Saccharomyces cerevisiae S288C: one gene and its partners. Changing the gene in region 1 together with any one later gene gives a genetic interaction. Each region holds a gene or a part of one and is shown on either strand. Other genes may lie near its edges. The genes, in order: YPL039W, MRS3, APT2 and CST6.

The links.
Region 2: mutations in YPL039W (region 1) and MRS3 together harm fitness more than expected from each alone (negative genetic interaction), as found in Saccharomyces cerevisiae (one large-scale study listed by BioGRID).
Region 3: mutations in YPL039W (region 1) and APT2 together harm fitness less than expected from each alone (positive genetic interaction), as found in Saccharomyces cerevisiae (one large-scale study listed by BioGRID).
Region 4: mutations in YPL039W (region 1) and CST6 together harm fitness more than expected from each alone (negative genetic interaction), as found in Saccharomyces cerevisiae (one large-scale study listed by BioGRID).

Annotation. Positions count from the first base shown.
Region 1 is NC_001148.4:476,549-481,982, reverse strand, and holds YPL039W (uncharacterized protein), read right to left. Parts: upstream 2,759-5,434; coding exon 1,808-2,758; downstream 1-1,807. Other genes in the region: EGD1 (Egd1p), read left to right, coding at 82-555; MET31 (Met31p), read right to left, coding at 915-1,448; YPL038W-A (uncharacterized protein), read right to left, coding at 1,610-1,801; isoleucine--tRNA ligase ISM1, read left to right, coding at 2,982-5,434.
Region 2 is NC_001142.9:157,881-163,010, reverse strand, and holds MRS3 (Fe(2+) transporter), read right to left. Parts: upstream 2,393-5,130; coding exon 1,448-2,392; downstream 1-1,447. Other genes in the region: YJL132W (uncharacterized protein), read right to left, coding at 1-1,097; DPI8 (Dpi8p), read left to right, coding at 3,164-3,388; sphinganine kinase LCB3, read right to left, coding at 3,594-4,823. UniProt on the Saccharomyces cerevisiae protein: MRS3 suppresses a mitochondrial splice defect in the first intron of the COB gene. It may act as a carrier, exerting its suppressor activity via modulation of solute concentrations in the mitochondrion (possibly of cations).
Region 3 is NC_001136.10:1,342,935-1,348,054, forward strand, and holds APT2 (adenine phosphoribosyltransferase APT2), read right to left. Parts: upstream 2,129-5,120; coding exon 1,583-2,128; downstream 1-1,582. Other genes in the region: histone methyltransferase DOT1, read left to right, coding at 1-1,307; SSN2 (Ssn2p), read right to left, coding at 2,742-5,120. UniProt on the Saccharomyces cerevisiae protein: Catalyzes a salvage reaction resulting in the formation of AMP, that is energically less costly than de novo synthesis. May lack catalytic activity.
Region 4 is NC_001141.2:282,951-287,929, reverse strand, and holds CST6 (Cst6p), read right to left. Parts: upstream 2,265-4,979; coding exon 501-2,264; downstream 1-500. Other genes in the region: casein kinase 2 catalytic subunit CKA1, read left to right, coding at 1-140; pheromone-regulated protein PRM2, read left to right, coding at 2,931-4,901. UniProt on the Saccharomyces cerevisiae protein: Transcriptional activator of promoters containing ATF/CREB sites. Can independently stimulate transcription through ATF/CREB sites. Important for a variety of biological functions including growth on non-optimal carbon sources.

The DNA of each region.
Region 1 (5,434 bases):
TTTGTCACAAGAGAGCGAATATTCTTTCTAGGGAGGTTTAAGAATAGAACATCTCACACCAGACGCGACTCATAATTCATAATGCCAATTGACCAAGAAAAATTAGCTAAGCTACAAAAGTTGTCTGCTAACAACAAAGTTGGTGGTACTAGAAGAAAGCTTAACAAGAAGGCAGGCTCTTCTGCCGGTGCCAACAAGGATGACACCAAGTTGCAAAGTCAATTAGCTAAGTTGCACGCTGTCACCATTGACAACGTCGCCGAAGCCAACTTTTTCAAGGACGACGGTAAGGTCATGCACTTCAACAAGGTCGGTGTCCAAGTTGCTGCTCAACACAACACTTCTGTATTCTACGGTCTACCACAGGAAAAGAACTTGCAAGATTTGTTCCCAGGTATTATCTCTCAATTGGGCCCTGAAGCCATCCAAGCCTTGTCTCAATTGGCTGCCCAAATGGAAAAGCACGAAGCCAAGGCTCCAGCTGATGCTGAAAAGAAGGATGAAGCTATTCCAGAGTTAGTTGAAGGTCAAACTTTTGATGCTGACGTCGAATAAATAACTTAATCTTTAATTTTAACGTTAAATAAAAAAACACATATTTTGTTCCATTTTTTTTCATTTTTTTTAGCATATCTAAAGCATATAATACAAACACTGTTTTCTGCAAAAAAAAAAAAATAAAAAATAAAATATAAAAAAACAATATACCACACTATGCTGCACACGTGAAATGATGAACTTGTACGTCACCACTTTGTGCGCAAAAAATTGGCAAAAGTAGAGAACATGTCACTAACTGTATCGGAATATTACAACGTTTTTTTATTCTACTTATCTCAATGGCTAAAGTATATATCTATCTATATATGTATGTGTAGGTGTGCTGATGGAGACAAATACGTTTTCCTCTAGCCTTACAACAGGCCGGTACCATTCTTTATCGCATCCTTGATGAGCTCATCTACATCAACGTCTGAACCTTCACTTAGTTTCTTTCTGTTTCTTTGACAGGTCAGTGTGTTAGAATGTCTTTTTAGAGCATCCTTCCTGGCAAACCCTTTGCCACAGTTTGAGCAAATATGCGGCAGCACGAGTGAGTGTACCTTTTCATGTCTTCTCAGATCAGAACTTCTGCTGAATTTCAACTGACATTTCGCACAGCTGTAGAGCTGTGCGCCTTCCTTGCTATGGTTGTTACCTCCTGTTCTTTTTGTTTGTGTTTCTGGAATCCTTATAAGACCTCTAGCCATATTTTCCGGCTCCCCAGCCTTTAAAACATTTTCTGGTGCTGGTATAACTGCGCTCAATGGGCTGGATTGTCGAATTCTGTGGAGTAGCTCTCGTATTATGGGGTCCGTATGAGTGGGACTTGATGAGATTACCGCTATAGCTTCTGCCGCTTGTTTGAGAAATATTTCATCTACATTCATGTCTTGCGCCAGTTTCATATGCACATATAGACTATCGACTGTGTATATTGAGCCCAACTTGTTAATGATCAAATCTCTTTACGTACTGAGGAACGGCTTTTTCTTTTTCTTACCCATGTTATATTTTGCATTAGAACAAAAAAAAAATTGATGGGCTAGCAAAATTTTTAGACTAAAATTTAGAGGCAAGATATGGTTCTGTAAGACTCGAAAAAATTCTCATAATATATACTTGCTTGTGTGAAAGTGTTCTTTTGTTTTGTTTTTTTTTCTTGTGTATAATTATACATGTTTTTTTTGCCTTTTGTACTCAAGAAATCATAAATGGAAATAAAAATGACCCTTGAATGATGAACAAAACGACAAACCATACTTTATTAAACTATCCTAAAAGCTTCTTGTACTAACTTTTTACCCATTTTGTTAAACTCCTGTAATTCTGTCACCAAAACATATCCGTTACTTTGACCCGACCATTCACCAGAGTCACTTACTTGGGTGGGTTCGATCCCACACTCAATTAATGATCTAGAATGCAAACCATTTGGTGTGTCTGGGATAAACGTAGTTTGTCGATATGTATCGGCATCAGCCCCCATGCTATGCGTTTCTTCATGTTCCGACCGCCTATCTTGGCCTTCCCCATCGGAATGGCTATGAAGCGAGTATGCCCTTGTATGTACATGTAGATCATCAGCTGACCTATTGGTAGAGAAAAAAGGTGATGCTGATGAATTGGAGTTCATAAAAGAACTTCTGAGGAAGTACGAATGTTGTTCACGTCGAGATAACATTTGCCTGCGTTGTTGTCTACTCCGCCGAATAAGTACAGGCCTCACAATAGAACAACAATTTATCACTTCTTCCAGTGGCAAGCCTGTTATCTGGGAATAGAGATGATAGGTTTCATCCCTCGTGGTAATCCTGTCGCGGTCATCGCCTACAACATTTGGCACACTTAAGATGAAAGCAGCTACAAATAGTTTGTGTAAGCTGAACTTTAAAAACTTCATGTAGTTAGTTTCCTTCGAGCAGCAATCTAGAAACTTGATGACAATGCAACAGACCTTTTTGAACTGTAAATGCGATGATTTGGCTCTGTGTAGGATTATTTCTAAAAATTTGGTTGTTTTCAAATGATTTGTGCCAATAATTGCATTGTCATCATCACTAGGCATGGTAACTAATAGGCTCGCATACCGCTGCATAATCCCCTTAGTCACTTGCGCTATCATGAACTTTTTCAATACCACTTTTTGCTTTTTAAATGACAACTCAGCAGATGCCATGTTATCAGCACCGCTCAAATTATACTCCTCTTTCAGCATCCCCCAGCGTGAATAATTCTACCCCGTATTCTTTAAATATTTAACATAGATGGCGATGATGTGTCGCCCCATATAATGTACTTTAAAAACAATAAAATCCTGTTCTGAAAATGTCGATTCTTTTTCCGCAAGCGAGTTAAGAAACGCAGAAAAACAGCAAATATAAAGGACCAAGGCTAGAAGTTATGGAACACAGTATACTAAGAACGATCTTTAGCTACTTATGAAGCGCTCCAGGCTTGTGCCTCAACATATCTTTAGCATTATTAGCAAGCGATATCTCGCCAAACATGCCTACCAAAAAACATTAAACTTGCCCAAGACCAAATTCCCTAATAGATCAAACTTAGAGATTACATTGAGGGAATTAATACCAAAATCTTCGCAGTTAGTTTACAAGGAGCAGCTACGTGATTTCTTCGAAGAATTTTCAAAGCTTAATACGACTGATGAAAAATTAGAGTTCATTAAAGAAAAGTTGTTCATCTTACATGATGGACCGCCCTATGCCAACGGCGAGCTCCATCTCGGTCATGCTCTAAATAAAATTCTGAAAGATATCATAAACAGATATCAACTTTCACAGGGGAAGTACATTTTTTATAAGCCTGGCTGGGATTGTCATGGACTACCCATCGAGATTAAAGCTTTGAAAGATTTAAGCGCGCAACAGATCGAGTCAATATCGCCTTTAAAAATCAGGTCAATGGCTTTAAAACATGCACAAAAGGCAATCAAGAGGCAAAGGGAAACTTTCCAACATTTTGCCATCTTAACGGACTGGGAAACACCATACCTAACAATGGATAAAGACTATGAAATTAATCAGCTAAATATTTTTAAAGAAATGTACGAAAGAGGACTGATTAAGAGACAGAACAAACCGGTTTACTGGGGTACAGAAACTAGAACAGCGTTAGCAGAGGGCGAATTAGAATATAATGAAAACCATAAATCCATCGCTGCTTATGTTAAATTTCCTCTTGAAAAGAAATCCCAGATGGATCTGTGCAAAAAACTAGGAATAACGAATAACTTGCCTATATACTGTTTGATTTGGACCAGTACTCCATGGACTCTTCTCTCTAATCGAGCAATCTGTTTCAATCAGGATTTTTCCTACTCCCTATTACGCTTAAATAGTGAACTTATCCTTGTAGAGACCGGCTCCATTGATAAATTGGGCCTAACAACTAACTCATTTGAGACTATCAAACAGTTTCAAGGAACTCATCTAAATGGGCTATATTATCAAAACCTCTTAGTAGACGATAAGGTTGGCAGGCCCTTATTACATGGTGCACACGTTACCAGCGGTACAGGGACTGGATTGGTTCATACAGCACCAGGGCATGGACAGGATGACTATCTCATTGGTATTCAAAATGGTCTTGAAATTTATTCTCCCGTGGATCACCAGGGCCGCTACCAATTAAATGAACTTCCTCAGTCCGTCAGATCCATCGTGAGAGATGAAGGAGACTTAACAAAAGGTAGGCAAGTATTGGATGCCGAAACCGCGAAAATCATTCTATGTAAGTTAAGCGACCTTAATTTACTTTACAAATCTCACGAATACACGCATTCTTATCCGTACGACTGGAGATCCAAGAAACCTGTCATAATAAGAGCTACTCCACAGTGGTTTGCAGATTTACACGATGTAAAAAACTTGGCTCTGGAAAGCATCAGCCGCGTCAAGTTTTGTCCTAAAAGAGGCTATTCAAGACTTTCATCCTTTATGAAAAGCAGAAATGAATGGTGCATATCTAGGCAACGCTCATGGGGTATCCCTATATTAAGCTTTTACAAGAAGAGCGAACCGGATTCTGTTTTGATGAATTCAGAAATTTTGGCACATGCCATAGAAAAAATCAAACAAAAAGGAATTAATGCATGGTTTAACGATAAAGATAATGACATGAAAGAATGGTTGCCAGAAAAATATCACGACGTAGCGCATGAATACTGTCGTTCTCAAGATACTATGGATGTGTGGTTTGATAGTGGGTCGTCATGGAGTGTGATCAAAGACTTTTATGAAAAAAGCTTAAAGTTGTCAAAACTCCCATCCCCCCTGTACCAAGTTTGTCTAGAAGGATCTGATCAACATAGAGGATGGTTTCAAAGTTCACTGCTAACAAAAGTAGCATCAAGTAATGTCCCTGTTGCACCATATGAAGAAGTGATTACTCATGGTTTTACCCTAGATGAGAATGGTCTGAAAATGTCAAAATCTGTGGGAAATACAATTTCTCCCGAAGCAATAATTCGAGGCGATGAAAACTTAGGCTTACCAGCTTTGGGTGTTGATGGCTTGAGGTATCTGATAGCACAATCGAATTTCACAACTGATATAGTTGCTGGCCCGACTGTGATGAAACATGTAGGAGAAGCTCTAAAAAAGGTTAGACTAACTTTTCGCTATTTATTGAGTAATTTACAGAAGTCCCAAGATTTCAACCTTTTGCCGATTGAACAATTACGCCGTGTTGATCAATATACCTTGTATAAGATAAACGAACTGCTGGAAACGACGAGAGAACACTACCAAAAGTACAACTTTTCCAAGGTTCTCATTACTCTACAATATCATTTAAATAACGAGCTATCGGCGTTTTATTTTGATATCTCAAAGGATATTTTATATTCCAACCAAATATCGTCATTGGCAAG
Region 2 (5,130 bases), on another chromosome or scaffold:
CCAACTGTGTCTTCAAGTGGTGCACTTACAGCGAGATAATCCTTGTTGTCTTCTCGAAATTTTCCCATAGTCAGGCTTGTGCCAAAATCGGAAAATGATTTCATGGGAGATACGACAATGTGGCTATTTCCCTTACGTGCTTTTAATGAAGAGACCAAAGGTCGTGCATTTATCCGTTTTTGTGATACTGGCGGTAAATTAGCACATAATCTCAGTTCTTCTGCTTGAGCTTCATTAGTATTCTCGTCATGAAACAAAGTCTCGAAGAAAGGCACGCATCTTTGGAGCATTGCAACCAAATTGGACTGCCCTCCTAGCCAATGATTCAGTATTAGATCATTAGCCCTGGGGGATGTTGAGTAAATATTAGTTAACAATTGGTTTCTTTGAGAGCGGAATAGGTACCCTTCACTAATAGCCGCTGCCATTCCTCTTTTAACGCAAAATTCCAGTTCTGCGTAGGACAACTTTTCCTTTGAAAGTCCAGCGTTCCTTATAATTTCCATTAAATCCTCTTCTCTGGGCAATTTCCAATCAGAGCGAGTTAAAAAATCCCAATTTTCGTTATTATTACTGTCACGGATTACATTATTTAAGGTGAGGAATTCACCCATAACGTCTAAAAACGTATGAGCAGTTTCAATATCTCCATCAAATTCTGTTTCGCTGAGAACTCGGAGTAGTCCGTGCATTCTATAATCGGTAACTAACGAATGCCAGGAAACATCAACTATCTGATGAGTGAATACCCCTATTAAAAATGACTTTAGTGCGAGTGAGCCGTGAGTTCCCCGAAGTCGATCGTTCTGACCATACTTTTGCTGCCAATAAGATACTGCAATCATTAAGAAATTGGGCCAATGAGTGAATTCTGCAAAATCAGACCAATCCTTATTTGAAGGTGCACATGAGTACAAAGCATCCGGAAAGAAAGAACCAGCTTTCAACCAAGGATAATAGTTTTCCTTTAAACTTAAGGGAGCACCTCTTGTTAAATAAAATAGATGGGTAGTAACTCCAGCAGCTTGCAATTTTGTTACAATAGAAGTAGTTAAGCAAATAATAGAGACAAGTAACCAAGAACTAATTATACTCATCTTTATTTAATTCCCTCTGAATACATGTTTCTAACTAACTAACCAAGGAGGGCGCTTGAATGAATCTTTTTTTTTTTTAGAAATAGATTTACCACTCTTAGAGTTTCCGCTATAAATAATGGCAGCTTGCCTGCGTCCGAAATACCCTTTGGGTATACTAAACATAGATATATAAAGTAATGAAGAAAAAATGAAAACTTTTCGTTGAGGGAAAGAGCTCAAGCTTTGGGATTATCAAATTAAATTTGTATATATAAATGTACATAAAGTCACAACAGGAAAATGATAATATACACATAATCTTCTGAGATGCAAAATGAATGGAAAATAATATGACATGTAAGAACCAACTAATACGTCATTAGGAAATGTTTTGCACATTCATAAGCTGTCCATGATATAGCAGTAGCCGGCATGTTTGCCACTATCCTTGGTTTCCAACCTCTCCAAAACCCTTTCCAGCCATAAACTTGATATATGGCACTGGCTGCTTTACTAAAAGTATCCGCCTTTCTCATAATTTCCAACGAAACTGTTTGACTGCCCCTTATCTGCAGTACTGTCTTTATGCAGTCTAAAGGTGTTGTGATCGCCGCACATGTCGATCCGCTGATACTGCCACACAGACAATGTATGAGGGGGTTGTACTCATTTGATGGGTTTAAAAATTTTGTGGATGATTCATATATGACGAAATTAAATGCTGCAAATGGGATGTTCATTACTAGGGTGGTTGGGTAAGAATAATAAAATGCTGCCAAACCTTCAGATTGGTAAATCTGCTTTGTGGTTTGCCATACTGATGCCGAGGTATTGAGTTGGATTCTCTGTTTTATTGTGTCGAATGGGTTCATTAATGCGTCAGATGCCGTGGTGGCACAGGCACCACTGATAGCTGTCTTAAAAGGATGGTGCGTTTGCGTATCACTCGAATCGATAAGATTTTTTTTGCAGAACTCATACGTACCAAAATACACTGCATGCGCAGGTCCCGCACCTAGTATGACAGACTGAACACCCTTCCATAGGGCTAGAGTTCCTTCGGAAGTAGAGATGTGAGATATTTGCGAAAGCATATTCTTGGCAGACAGCGATTTCGCGTTGGCTGATTGTATTCGCGTCTTAAGGGCATCTATCGGGAACATCACTGAATGTTCCATTATACCAGCAAATGCACCCGCTATAAGTTGATGGTACAATGGCGCGTGGGTGGGGAGCGCCTCATAATCGGGTAGATCCATAGGTATTGCTGGAATTGGCCTTGTTGAATTATTACTCGACGAGTTTTCTACCATAATATCTTCTTTTTTTATAACATAAATATATTTACAGCAAACCTTAAGAGGTGTTAACGAATATGGGAATCGTGATTAATTAAGTGAAGTTACGATCCCAAGATAAAATAAGGAAGTTGTTGAAAGAGGAAAGAATCGATGAAGAAATGAACGACAAAATTACTTTTGTCAATTGTAGGGTACGAAACACCAAGAAATGCAATAAGTGCTATGTAAAGGTGATCCAGTCTTGGTTAGCACACACGCCCAGTTTCTCGAGAGACATAATGACAGTAAACGGTGAGTATAAAAAAAAAGCAAAAAAAAAAGAAAAAAGGAGCAATCGTTCGTTACAAACGATCTAGACTTGATGAAAAAAAACCCTAAAATGTCTCAGACCTAAAACAAAACCCTAAGAAGCACGTGATACAAACCTGTCACGTGCAACATTATGGGGTATGGGTGTGTCACACATTTGAAAAAAAGTGGGCGGAACGTGTGTGGGGGGGTGTCATGCCATTTCCACATTTGGTTGCTCTGGAGATAAGATCCACGAATGAAGGTGAGGGGCATGACTTCAGGGATCAATTTCCCGCCCGCAAGTTAGTTTTTCCGGTGGGAGCCGAGCATCAAGCATGACCACTTCCTGGTGCAGAGAGAAAGTTTCACACATATAAAAGAATAAACCGAAAGTAATGTAGGGAGATGTTTAATGTGATTTTTCACCTTTGTTTTAATGATTACGCACAAGTTTAAATATTACATTCATAAGACAGTAAATAAACGTATTAAATGATCGCCCAAAGTACCAGATTAGCCGCCGCCGTCTCTTCTTCAGCCGCCTCCGCGGGTGTCTCAAGGATAGCCGCTAGCGCCATGGCCAGCACTATTTTCAAGAGATCTCCGGGCAACTCGTTCAACTCTTTTAAGGAATATAGAGAAAATGCCAAGACATATGGTCCCTTGAGTGCCTCACTAGCTACCAGAAGACACTTGGCTCACGCGCCAAAGTTGTAGGCGTATCTTAATTATGCTCTTTTCTTTCCTGGTTTATTAATGATGATGACTTTAACCTATTCTTCTTTTGGGGTCCTGGTACGGTGCCTCAAATTTTTATACAACATGACTTTTTCAGTTACATATTTTTTTATAAGTACTTAATTTAGAAACGGATACATTTACACTACATTTTGTCTATTTTTTTTTTTTTGTTCCTTTTGTTTTATGCTATATTTAAGAGGGAAAATAGGACGGGGCTGCACATTACAACGGTGAATGGAACGCCAGCATAGATAATAAATCTACCTAGAATGTCAATCTTGGGCTCTCCAATATATAATGGACATTCGTACTTGCTTGCACCTTCTTTGTGCGTGGCCTCCAGTCTTTTTCTTGCCGCAACGTTTCTGTCATCCTTCAGATGGAAAACTTTGATCAATAACGTGTAGATCATCGGTTTGCTGATCACGTACTTCCAGATAACAACGCACGGTAGGCCCACCAGCAGCCTGGCTAAGGTTAACCGCCAGCCACAGTTAGGTTCCAAATTGTACACCAGGGTGACTCCAAACACTTTGCCCAACCAATCACAGCATTCAATACCTGACACAACGCCCATGAACGCAACACTATCTTGGAAGCAAGGACATTCGTCTACGGGCTTAACATGTTTAAACAAAAGAAGAAGACCCCATCCCACACTAAACAAAGGAAACCACCAATGCTCCTCAATGCGTAAACCCGGAAACCTGTACTTGAAATACATCCTAACAATGAAACACACTATTCCAATGAGCCCACCGCTTACTAAATCTAATATGCCATGCATCCCACAGTATATTCTACCGAAAACCAAAGTCATATAATAAAATAAAACCACACATGACAACAATAGTTGGACCATGACAGAAGATTCTTGCATCCTCCAGATGTTGTAGAGAAACAAGAGACTCACTCCTGTTGCATTTGCTGTATGGGAGCTTGGAGCACCATATTCCTTCGTTGTATATTCACTTAACGTAATTCGATGTAATGGAGGTGCTCTAGGCCTGGGCAAGCACCAGTAATCTTTAAAAAAACCACTCAAGTAGATAGAATATCCCAAGATATAAACCATATCTTTTGTTGTTTCAAAATATCCAAACCACACGGGCATAGGTAAACACAGAACATAGAAGGTATGCGATCCCATTAAGGAAGTATAAGTAAAGTAGAGATCATTAAACGCAGAACGGTACTTCTTTTGCCAGCGGCTTAATGTGAATGATTGATTGTTGGTAAACACTAACAGCTTCTCTCTAATATTAAACCGAAATTTGGACATTCGAGTTCGAAAATGATCTGAGGGATGATTACCGGGATCCAGCAAGTAATTAGGCTCTTGAAAGTCATTGGGGTTAGAGAGAGTCCTGGCTCTTTTCCTAATGTTCGAGGTATTCAGTCCATCTACCATTTTTTATCTATACAAATGGCTTGTGTCCGCTGGTCTGGTAGGTTTGAAGAATTTCCTCTACGTGATGGTTGTATGTAAACAAACTTTCTTAAACTCTGCTTTTTCTTACTGCCCTTATAATGTGACGACAACTTTAGCGCAAGGTGAGGGAAAAACAAAACAGCCAAGCGTAGTTCAGTCACATGATAAAGGCAGTAGTTCAATTTGGTACTAAGAAACATTTTTTGCAACATTTTTGCCTTGTTATTCGTGAAATGAATATCTGGCGATATTTTGCACATATTTGGTTCCAACAATAGCTGGTTGA
Region 3 (5,120 bases), on another chromosome or scaffold:
CAAAGCAAGAAATAGATACTGCACGAGAAAAAAAGCCATTGAAAAAAGGTCGGGCAAACAAGAAGAATGATCGCGATAGTCCTTCATCAACATTTGTTGATTGGAATGGCCCGTGTCTACGGTTACAATATCCATTATTTGACATAGAGTACTTAAGATCACATGAAATATATTCTGGAACTCCTATACAATCCATTAGTTTAAGAACAAATTCTCCACAGCCAACGAGCTTGACATCAGATAACGACACTTCCTCAGTAACGACAGCAAAGTTGCAGAGTATTTTATTTTCAAATTATATGGAAGAGTACAAAGTCGACTTCAAAAGGTCAACAGCCATTTATAATCCAATGAGTGAAATTGGTAAATTAATTGAATACAGCTGCCTGGTCTTTTTACCTTCACCTTATGCTGAACAATTGAAGGAAACTATACTACCGGACCTAAATGCATCATTTGATAACTCTGACACGAAAGGTTTCGTGAATGCTATAAATTTATACAACAAAATGATTCGTGAAATTCCTAGGCAAAGAATAATTGACCATTTAGAAACAATTGATAAAATTCCTCGTTCATTCATTCATGACTTCTTGCATATCGTCTATACCAGGAGTATCCATCCGCAGGCGAATAAATTGAAACATTACAAAGCATTCAGCAATTATGTTTATGGAGAACTTTTGCCCAATTTCCTATCTGATGTATATCAACAATGCCAGTTGAAGAAGGGTGACACTTTCATGGATCTCGGTTCGGGAGTAGGTAATTGCGTAGTACAAGCTGCGTTGGAATGTGGATGTGCATTAAGCTTCGGATGTGAAATCATGGATGATGCTAGCGATTTAACTATACTGCAGTACGAGGAACTAAAGAAGAGGTGTAAGTTATATGGGATGCGTTTGAACAACGTGGAGTTTTCATTGAAGAAAAGCTTTGTGGACAATAACAGGGTCGCTGAACTAATTCCTCAGTGCGATGTTATCCTCGTAAATAATTTTTTATTTGATGAAGATTTGAATAAAAAAGTCGAAAAGATACTACAAACGGCAAAAGTTGGATGTAAGATCATAAGTTTGAAAAGTTTAAGAAGCCTCACTTATCAGATCAACTTCTACAATGTTGAGAACATCTTCAATAGATTAAAGGTGCAAAGGTATGATCTTAAGGAGGATAGTGTTTCATGGACGCATAGTGGCGGAGAGTATTATATATCAACAGTGATGGAGGATGTGGACGAAAGTTTATTCAGCCCTGCTGCAAGAGGTAGGAGGAACAGAGGTACGCCGGTGAAGTATACCAGATGAGGCACTTTGAACGGCTTTTAACGATGAGTATGAATAACTAAGTAGAAATAACATGTACACAAGTGTAACTTATAAAAATCAAAAAATAAAAAAATAGAAAGGGAGAGAATAAGAGTAGGTAATAATATGAATTAAAAGAAGGATAAGGCGCCGTGGACCAGGTACCTAAAAAGTAAAGTACCAGTTTATATTAACAAAAGAAGTTCAAGCTAAAAAGTAGCAATATGCGAAGGAAAGGAAAATAATTGAAGGAGGAGGCAGAGAACAAATTTAAATCAGGAGTGCAATATGGAAAAAATAGGAGCAGATAATTTCTCCTCACCATGTAGACTATCTAACACTAGCACAAAGTCATATTCCAGAATATGAGCACCCACTTGTCTGATAAGGTCGCCCGCAGCATATGCCGTTCCACCGGTGGCGAGAACATCATCCACGACAACCACGTTGGAATCAAAGGGAATGGCTTCAACCTGCATTTCAAAAATTTCTTCATGGTCTAATTTTGTGAATGTTATAGAAGCACACTCACCCGGCAATTTTCCAACTCTCCTTATTGGAACAAATCCAACTCCCAATGCCAGTGCTAGGGATGGCCCAAATAGAAGGCCTCTAGCTTCTATACCTGCAATAAAGTCGATCTTTTCTTTGCCGAACTTTTCTTCTAAATGCGTCTTGAACGTGTGTACCAACTTTTGGAATAGCGTGGGGTTGCCAATAATAGGTAAAAAATCCTCAAATTGCTCACCCTCTATGGGAAAGTCAGTGAACTGCCTAAATGCAGTTTTTATTTCCTTTGCGTAAGATTCAGAAATAGACATAATGAGAGGCGGACAGGCAATGAACAGGCATATACACACGCACTCTCTTTTTTTAAGGAGCGAAAATTATCTGAACGATTGGTATGAACGGGTGCAAAATTTACTTTAACACCCAAAAAGTATATGCGTATATATATATATTTATCCTTGTTATTTTTGTAAATTGAGCTATGCAACATAAGATTCCTGCGATGTAAGAACTACTTGCTAATCAAGAGAACTTCAACAATTTTCCATCGCAGAGACGAAAAAACTGGAAAAAAATAAAAAGAAAAAATTGAAAAAGAATCGCGACTTCCGATTACATAACCTTATACGGAGTATGATACCATTCTTGACATCATCAACACACCATCGCAGACCCACGTGGCCGCTTCGTGTGCCTTGAAAATACAGCCTTAAACGCAATCTCATTCGCGTTCTGTGGAAATTGTCTCGGACTACACGCTGGGCGTGCATCACCAGTGAAAATGCCGTACCGCCCCGCTTCCGGTTTTGTTTTTATAAATCCGACTGGAGAAATAGACTTCTGGGTTTACACCCCGGAATAATACTAAAACCAAAACTGGTAAATAGGGCTACAGATGAGCAGGAAAACGTTGCCGGAAAAAGTTTATTTATCCGAGAGAATAATTGATGAAGAAGTAGCGGTATGCACAGTAGCGGCGGAAGTATTAGCAATTTTTACTCTGGTGTGCACAAGAGTGTTCATCATTTTTTTCACGGCTAGGATATGCCATGGAATATGGCCATCTTCGCCATCAGAGAGACCGTACCACACGTTTAGAGCAGCCAGGTTGCGAAACTCTTCTAAGATGGTTTCCAGCAATTGTGTACTATCAGAATGTGGACAGTTTAAAAGGTTGACTGCGAATTTGTCCCAAACCGTATCACCGTCGCATTTTTTGAATTTGATCAAAGCACCACTCCTAATAGCACAGCGATGCTGTGAGTGTGCCAGTGGGAACGGGTGCTGAAATACTATTCCATGGATGTCCTGGTCTATATCCCTTATTTCATAGTCGTATAATCTGGTCATATCCATGCGTCCTCCAAACCTAGTGTCTTTGTAGATCGGCTTGAAACTAGGGTACAATTTGTCCTCATCTATGAAGGAGATTTTAGAGTTGTCATCCACACACACCACAGCAAGATGTATATTCCTACCAGAAAGTCTCCTCCAATTCATCAATTCATCATCCGGCAGTATGCCATTCAATCTAGTTAAAATTAGACATATTTTTCCGAATTTTTTAGACGCTAAATTTAGGGCGATATTCCATATTTGATTACATGCGTCGTCAAATTTTCCTCTGGAATTCCCGACGTACCACGTTTTCGTCATGCTGCCTTGTCCATAGCTATCTGAAAGAGCTGCAAAAACCCACTCTTTATCTACACTACGCGAGTATGCCAGGTGGATGTACGAGTCATAATATATTATAGAAGATGATCCTGTACTGTTATTCTGCTGCTGCTGTTGCTGTTGCTGTTGCTGTTGCATTTGCTGTTGCTGCATGGTTCTGAAATTCACTTTCTCCGGCAGCGTATGCGCAATGTGGGTGAACTTTACAGATTTTGGCGGCAGCATGTTATATATAGAAATTGCTACGTTGACGTACTGATCCACTGTCACCAGTACGTTTCTAATGAAATCCATAGGAATAACTTTCAAATATAGTTCAATGTTAGGCATCTTGGCACAAACTTCGTTCTTGATCACCTGAAAAATATTCGCCTTGTCTACTAATTCAGTCAGAGTTGCATTATCCAAGGGTAAAATTATTAATATTGGTGGCACGTTTTTGATGGAGTTCTTATTATTAGAACAGTATGAAACAATCTGCGCAGCTAACAACAGTAACTTGTTTTTATCAAATGCCTTCAAGTACATCAGTCCGGGCGGGTCTTCATTAGTTAGTTTAAGCAACTCACAAAACCCTAACTCTTGATTAATATATGTTTGAGATAGAGTTGGCGCAAATGACAGACAATCTTCTTTGAAAGATGAACTTAATAATAAGGATTTGAAGTTTTTTATTCCATTTGGAGGGCGAAAATTGAGGAACTTAATAAATGGCTGAGAGTCGTGTTTGACTTTGATTAGTTCGTGATGTTTCTTTACAAAAACGTACGGCTGCTTCATGTTATAGAATTTGGAGATCGTATCATTGCCATTTAATCTATCGAAAGTGGAAAATAACTGTAACATTGTGGTTGTTATTAAACCTTCTTGGCAATCTTTAACTCCCCTATAGGCGATCTTTGGAATACCGAGGTTTCCTAAGATATTATAATCAGTGACGACTTGTTCTGCAATTAAATCTAAGATGTCTTGTTCTTTTTCTGAAATTGTAACAACGGGAGTAGGCGTGATGAAAATGTCCGGTATAGATGCTAGCGGCATGTGTCTCAATAGAAACGGTAGACTACTTGATGATTCAAAAGATAAATTGGGGTCCGCCGGTGTGAATTCGGGGATACCACTCTTGTCTTTTGGTAGGTTAGAAATTTCAGAATTTACCATATTCGGCGTAAATTCGGACGGATTACTGGTAACATTATTATCTTCCAAGGTCATCTTTATATTGGATTCTATGGGTTGAATAGATGAATCAACGGTCTTCAGTGGTGACTCGGTCTGTGGTATATCATTTTGAGGAATTTTCCAAATAGAGTTGAAGCCTTCCTTATTGCTAGTGATATTAGCATCGTTTACTGAATTGAAATTTTCTTGCTTTATAATAGAGTCTTGTAGACTTGGGATCGAAGAGTAATTTATGTATTGAGGCTCATGAATATTAGTATTAGTACTGATGTTATCAGAAGGTTTCATGTCGTCGCGTACGTTCAATGACTTTAGATCCTCATCGCTGCTACCGTTCTCTTCTTCATCCTCTTCCTCTTCAGAGCTAGAAAGATCCGCCATAGAAATATCAAAGTTTAATGCTTCCTCCTTTTGCAACGGACTGAAGGAAAATTTCCCTCCAGA
Region 4 (4,979 bases), on another chromosome or scaffold:
ATAAACATTTAAGCGGCAACGATGAAATTATTGACCTTATTGACAATCTTTTGAGATATGATCATCAAGAAAGATTAACTGCTAAGGAAGCGATGGGACACCCGTGGTTTGCCCCAATAAGGGAACAAATTGAAAAATAAGAAATAAATAATGAATGAAATAAAAAAAAAAAAATCACTGACAAACGATATAACGATTACTTTTTTTTACCATCTGTACAATTGTACTTAATTCTAATAGATTTAAAAAACTAAATACAGGTTTAAAGGGCTTCCTCCATACAACAGAGGCAAGGAGGACTAAGGGGTTGACACGAGCAAATTTCATACATGCAAAATAATAATGTCTTAAAGGTAATTTATACCATAAATGTAGTAACTAAACGAAATAATAACGGCAGAAAAGAAAGGATGCAGCTCGAGTATTTATACACGTATATTACATATATAGTTGTCCTTATCATTCTTGAATGAAACACCGTTGTGCTCACCAAAACTTTGTTATTTTATCTTTTCAGAATTGGGTAATGATTGGTTGTCTGGATCCTTACCACCTTCTACGGGCTTGAGATCTATATCGTCATCGTCAGTATCGCTTCCGAAACGTTGAGAGTATGGCTCGTGCTTGATGGCTATGATCTTACCAGTATCTTTATCCACTTCTGTAACGTCTGAATCGATCATTAAAAGTTCTTCAATGATCTTTAATGAATCCACAGTCATGCTTTCATTTTTGTTGCTACTATTAGTGCCATTAACATTATTATCTGAGTCTTTATTTAGTTTTTCATGTTCACGTAAATGAATTTTGGAGAATTTCTTGAATTTAGAGATTAGTTTTTCATAGTAATTTAACTTTTTCAGTAAAATTCTATTCTCGTCTTTAATTTCGTTAAATTCCTTTTGGAGCTGCAGCTGCGCAACCTTTTTCCTTTGTCTACATTTCGAAGCTGCAATTCGATTTCTTTCTAACAATCTTGCTCTCTTCCATGCCGTAGTACCAGGGATTGGATTTCCCTGTGTGTTCGCCGCTAAATTTAAATGAGATCCTTGAGATTTTGGAGTGAAGCTAGGATTAGAGTGAGATTCCCTAAGTGCAGATTTGCCCCTATTTTCACCTCCAGTAGTTGGCGCAAACGTCGTCATGCCTTCCAAATCACTTATACTCTCCGCTGGAGTATTCTTTGATGGCGCGTTTACAAAATTTCGCTGCTGACTTTTCGAGTAAATAACGCTCTGATCACCCAATGCGGAGTCCTTCGTGGGATTAATAACTTTTTTTGCATTGTATTGTGGAATACTACTAACCGGCACTGCTTGGTTGAAGACCGGCTTGTTTGATACATTCCTAGTTTGGCTCAGACCATTATAATTGTGAAAATTGGGCATCGGGGGCGGCTGTGTGTTGTGCAGGTTTTCCAAAGTTTCAATATCTTCGCCTAGCTGGCTTATTTGACCGTTAGAGATTGATATTCTTCTTCTTCTAATTGGCTCATCGCATCCAGGCAAAGAACTTTGGAAAATTGGTGGATTCGTCATAGGTAAATGTGCTACATCAACACCAAAAGGTTGAAAAAATGGCGACAATGTTTCCAGGATGGATGGATCGTTCAAGGCATGTGGGTTGTTATTCATATTCATGTTCATGAAATACATCTGCTTGTTCACAGAAGCCGTATTGGCGATGTTGGACGCATTAGTCGGGGCTGTAGTAGAATCATTCGGAGCGGACTTACGGGTAGACGACAGTTGGCTCAGATTTGTATGAGTGGCCAGATTCTGATGCATATCCTGTACGACACCAGAATTCATCAGAATATCACCGTAGAGTTGGGATTCCTCTTCAGTTTTCATAGAGGGTGACTGTTGTCGCTGATCCTGCTGTTGCTGTTGTCGAAGGTATGCAGCCTGCTGATAGTTTGAATTGGCGCTGGGTTTAACAACCCGATCATGCGAATTGACGTTTCCAGCTGCAATAGAATATTGTGGGGTTAAAGAATTTCTATTGGAAGTAGTATAATCATGTATTTGGTCAACCACACCAGCCATATTTGTGCTATAGTTTATGTCAGTAGGATCTAAGGATCTACTTAAAGCAGAATTGTTCATAGTAGAAGTGGTGGTGGCGGCGGCAGAAGTATCACTAACAGAGTGCGGTATCTTATTATTCAAGATCTTTGATGTGTCATCAATACCACGTTTATTGTTGTCTTTTTGCTTGTTGGAATTAGAGTCTACGGAATGATACTCCTGACCAGTAAACATTATCCTACCAAAAAGGTGTGGGCTTATACTTTTTTCTTTACTACTTTAGATCTTTTTAGATCCTTTTGAATCTTCCAATTGAAAGACTGCTTTAAAAGCGAGTTTTTGATTTAGAAACACCAACAGATACGTATACACGATAACCTCTATAGCGGTTCTATTTCTGTTAACAAGAAGGTACTTGAAAGTGATAACTCAAAAAACAAGAGTACAATATGAAAATCTTTTGCCTTCATTGTCATTGTCATTGAATCCCCGATTATCATTGTCAGCAATTTCGGAGAAGGGGGCAACTATGTTCCGTGTAAGGTGATATTACTCAAATGTGTCACAATTTCAACTTCTGGGAATAATATTTATAATAGTTGAGATTATTCTTGATTATAGAGGCGACAGCTTATCTTAATTTTCGCCAATAGGTTTGGAAGAACATTGGTATTTTCATTCGGTGCAGCATTTTAATTCAGAATTATAACCGTCCTTGTACGGTTATAACAGCACATTATTGAAAAATGTTTTAAAAATGTTTCAGCCCAGTAATAAAACATTTACATATGCTATCTTGGCCCTTTATATAACATGTAAAGCAAAAAACTAGAACACTAACATGGCTTAAGTAGCTGAAAATCTACACCACTTTTCGATAAAACTAAGAGTACGGCAAAGATGAACAATGTACACATAATTAAACCTTTATCACTTCCACAGAGGTTTTTTAGTTGTATTTTCCATCCTCTATTACTGATATTCTTTACTTCTGTTATTTTAACTATTTGGGGTTCCTTTTCAGTCATTGACATTACAATGGCAAAAATGTCTCACGCACAGGTCAAACGAAATGATACCGTCTCAACCTTTGCATCTATTTCAACTGCTACAGCGACAGCCACAACAACGGCCACAACAACGGCCACAATGACAGCAGTCACAACACAGCATGCCATATATTCTGCCAACAGTTACTCTTTAAATAAAACATTCATTGATAATACAATTGATCAGTATTTCGAAAGCAAACTACGGAGTATTGAATCTACGGTAGGTACGGATATGCAAGAAAAATTCAAGTCATACACAGACGACATACTGGATAATAAACAAAAACTTATCAACGACCAAATAAGTTTGGAAACTGAATTGATTAAGGAAGTTCTTGAGGTAAACAATACAATTTTTAACGAACTACTCACTAAATCACAGCTGATAAATGACACATGGAATGAAATATCAGAAGACGCAATGACCATTGATAAGGATTCCATTTCACAAATGGCATCAAACCTACTGTTAAATTACTCCATGTTTGACAGTATTTTTGGGAACTACTCAAGGAAATTGAAATCATTGCAGAACTTCAATGGCACTATCACTGACTTTTCTACTCAATTAGATACCTCTAGTACCTTAAGTTTGAATTTTCTACGAAATTCCACTGACTGGCTTCAGTTGAAAAGGAACTTTACTGCAAACTTACAGAATGAAATTTCCATTTTATCTGGGGGGAGTACCGAGGTTACATCGTCTACTTCAATAATTAAACGGTCTCTGAAAACAAATAGCGAGGAAAACAGTGTACTAAGTGCAGTAAAAAATCACGTTTTCCGTAAATGTAAGAGAATGACAATAATTTTCACAGTCATGTACTTTGCATTTGTGATTTTGCTCATGGCAATCGAAAGAATTCTGTTTCAGCTGGAAAATCAGCAAGTAAACCTGGTTATGTCCCAAATTAATGGCCTGACAGGACAAACCAATTTTACTAAATACAACAAAGTTTTGAAAAGCTTAATTACTACTCTGAATCTCAGTACACTTTATCCAATTCCCTACCAATTAACAAAGCTTATCAATCAAAAAATATTTAAAAGAGAACCAGAAAAAATCGATGACAAAAAAGTCAAAAAATCAAAACTATTTTACTGTAACTGGTGGATAATCTCAAATGGGGCTCACCTGTGGCTGTTTGGTTTTTTGATGTTATTAATTCATTGGCAGATAGTGACGCGATTAACAAACTTTGAAGTACCCAGTTTGCCTACATTCCACAAAAGAGCGGGACCTTCGCTATACAAAAGGGAAGTTTGGACAGATGGAAATATAACAACTACGATAGAGGGTTTCATTAATGACAGCGTATCATTATTGTGTGAAAATTTCCAAATGGAAGTGAATGAAAAGTTCATTACAGCAAATTTAAGCCTTCAAACTGACCCCAATTTGAAAGTGCAATCAACGGACATCCTAAATCTTTGGGTTAACGACACAAACACTCAGTTTGAAAAATATCTTAATGAGAGTTCTCAAAATTGGCAGGGGATAGACCTGCAGGTTGAGCCTCTGTTAGGCAGCGATTCAATTAATGAGTTCCTGGGTCAGTATTTCCTACCGACATACGAAGTTACGAATACAAATTCTTCATTTGCACTGGACATTCAAAAATATGGTATAATTAATCGAGGAATTAATATAACCAACGCATCGGTAGCGGCATTGTCTTCACTGTCAAAACGCCAAATAAAGGATAAGGAGCAAAAACAAACGTACTTTTTACACACTGTTTATAAGTGGGGACTTTTAGCAGTTTGCCTGACTATATTGTTCCACCACATGCTTATATTTATAATATTAAAGTTGTAAGTATCGTATTATCGTCACCTTCCACGAGCGGTCTCGCAATTTTCGCTGAGTGAAAAACTTGTGAAAGATACCTTGATT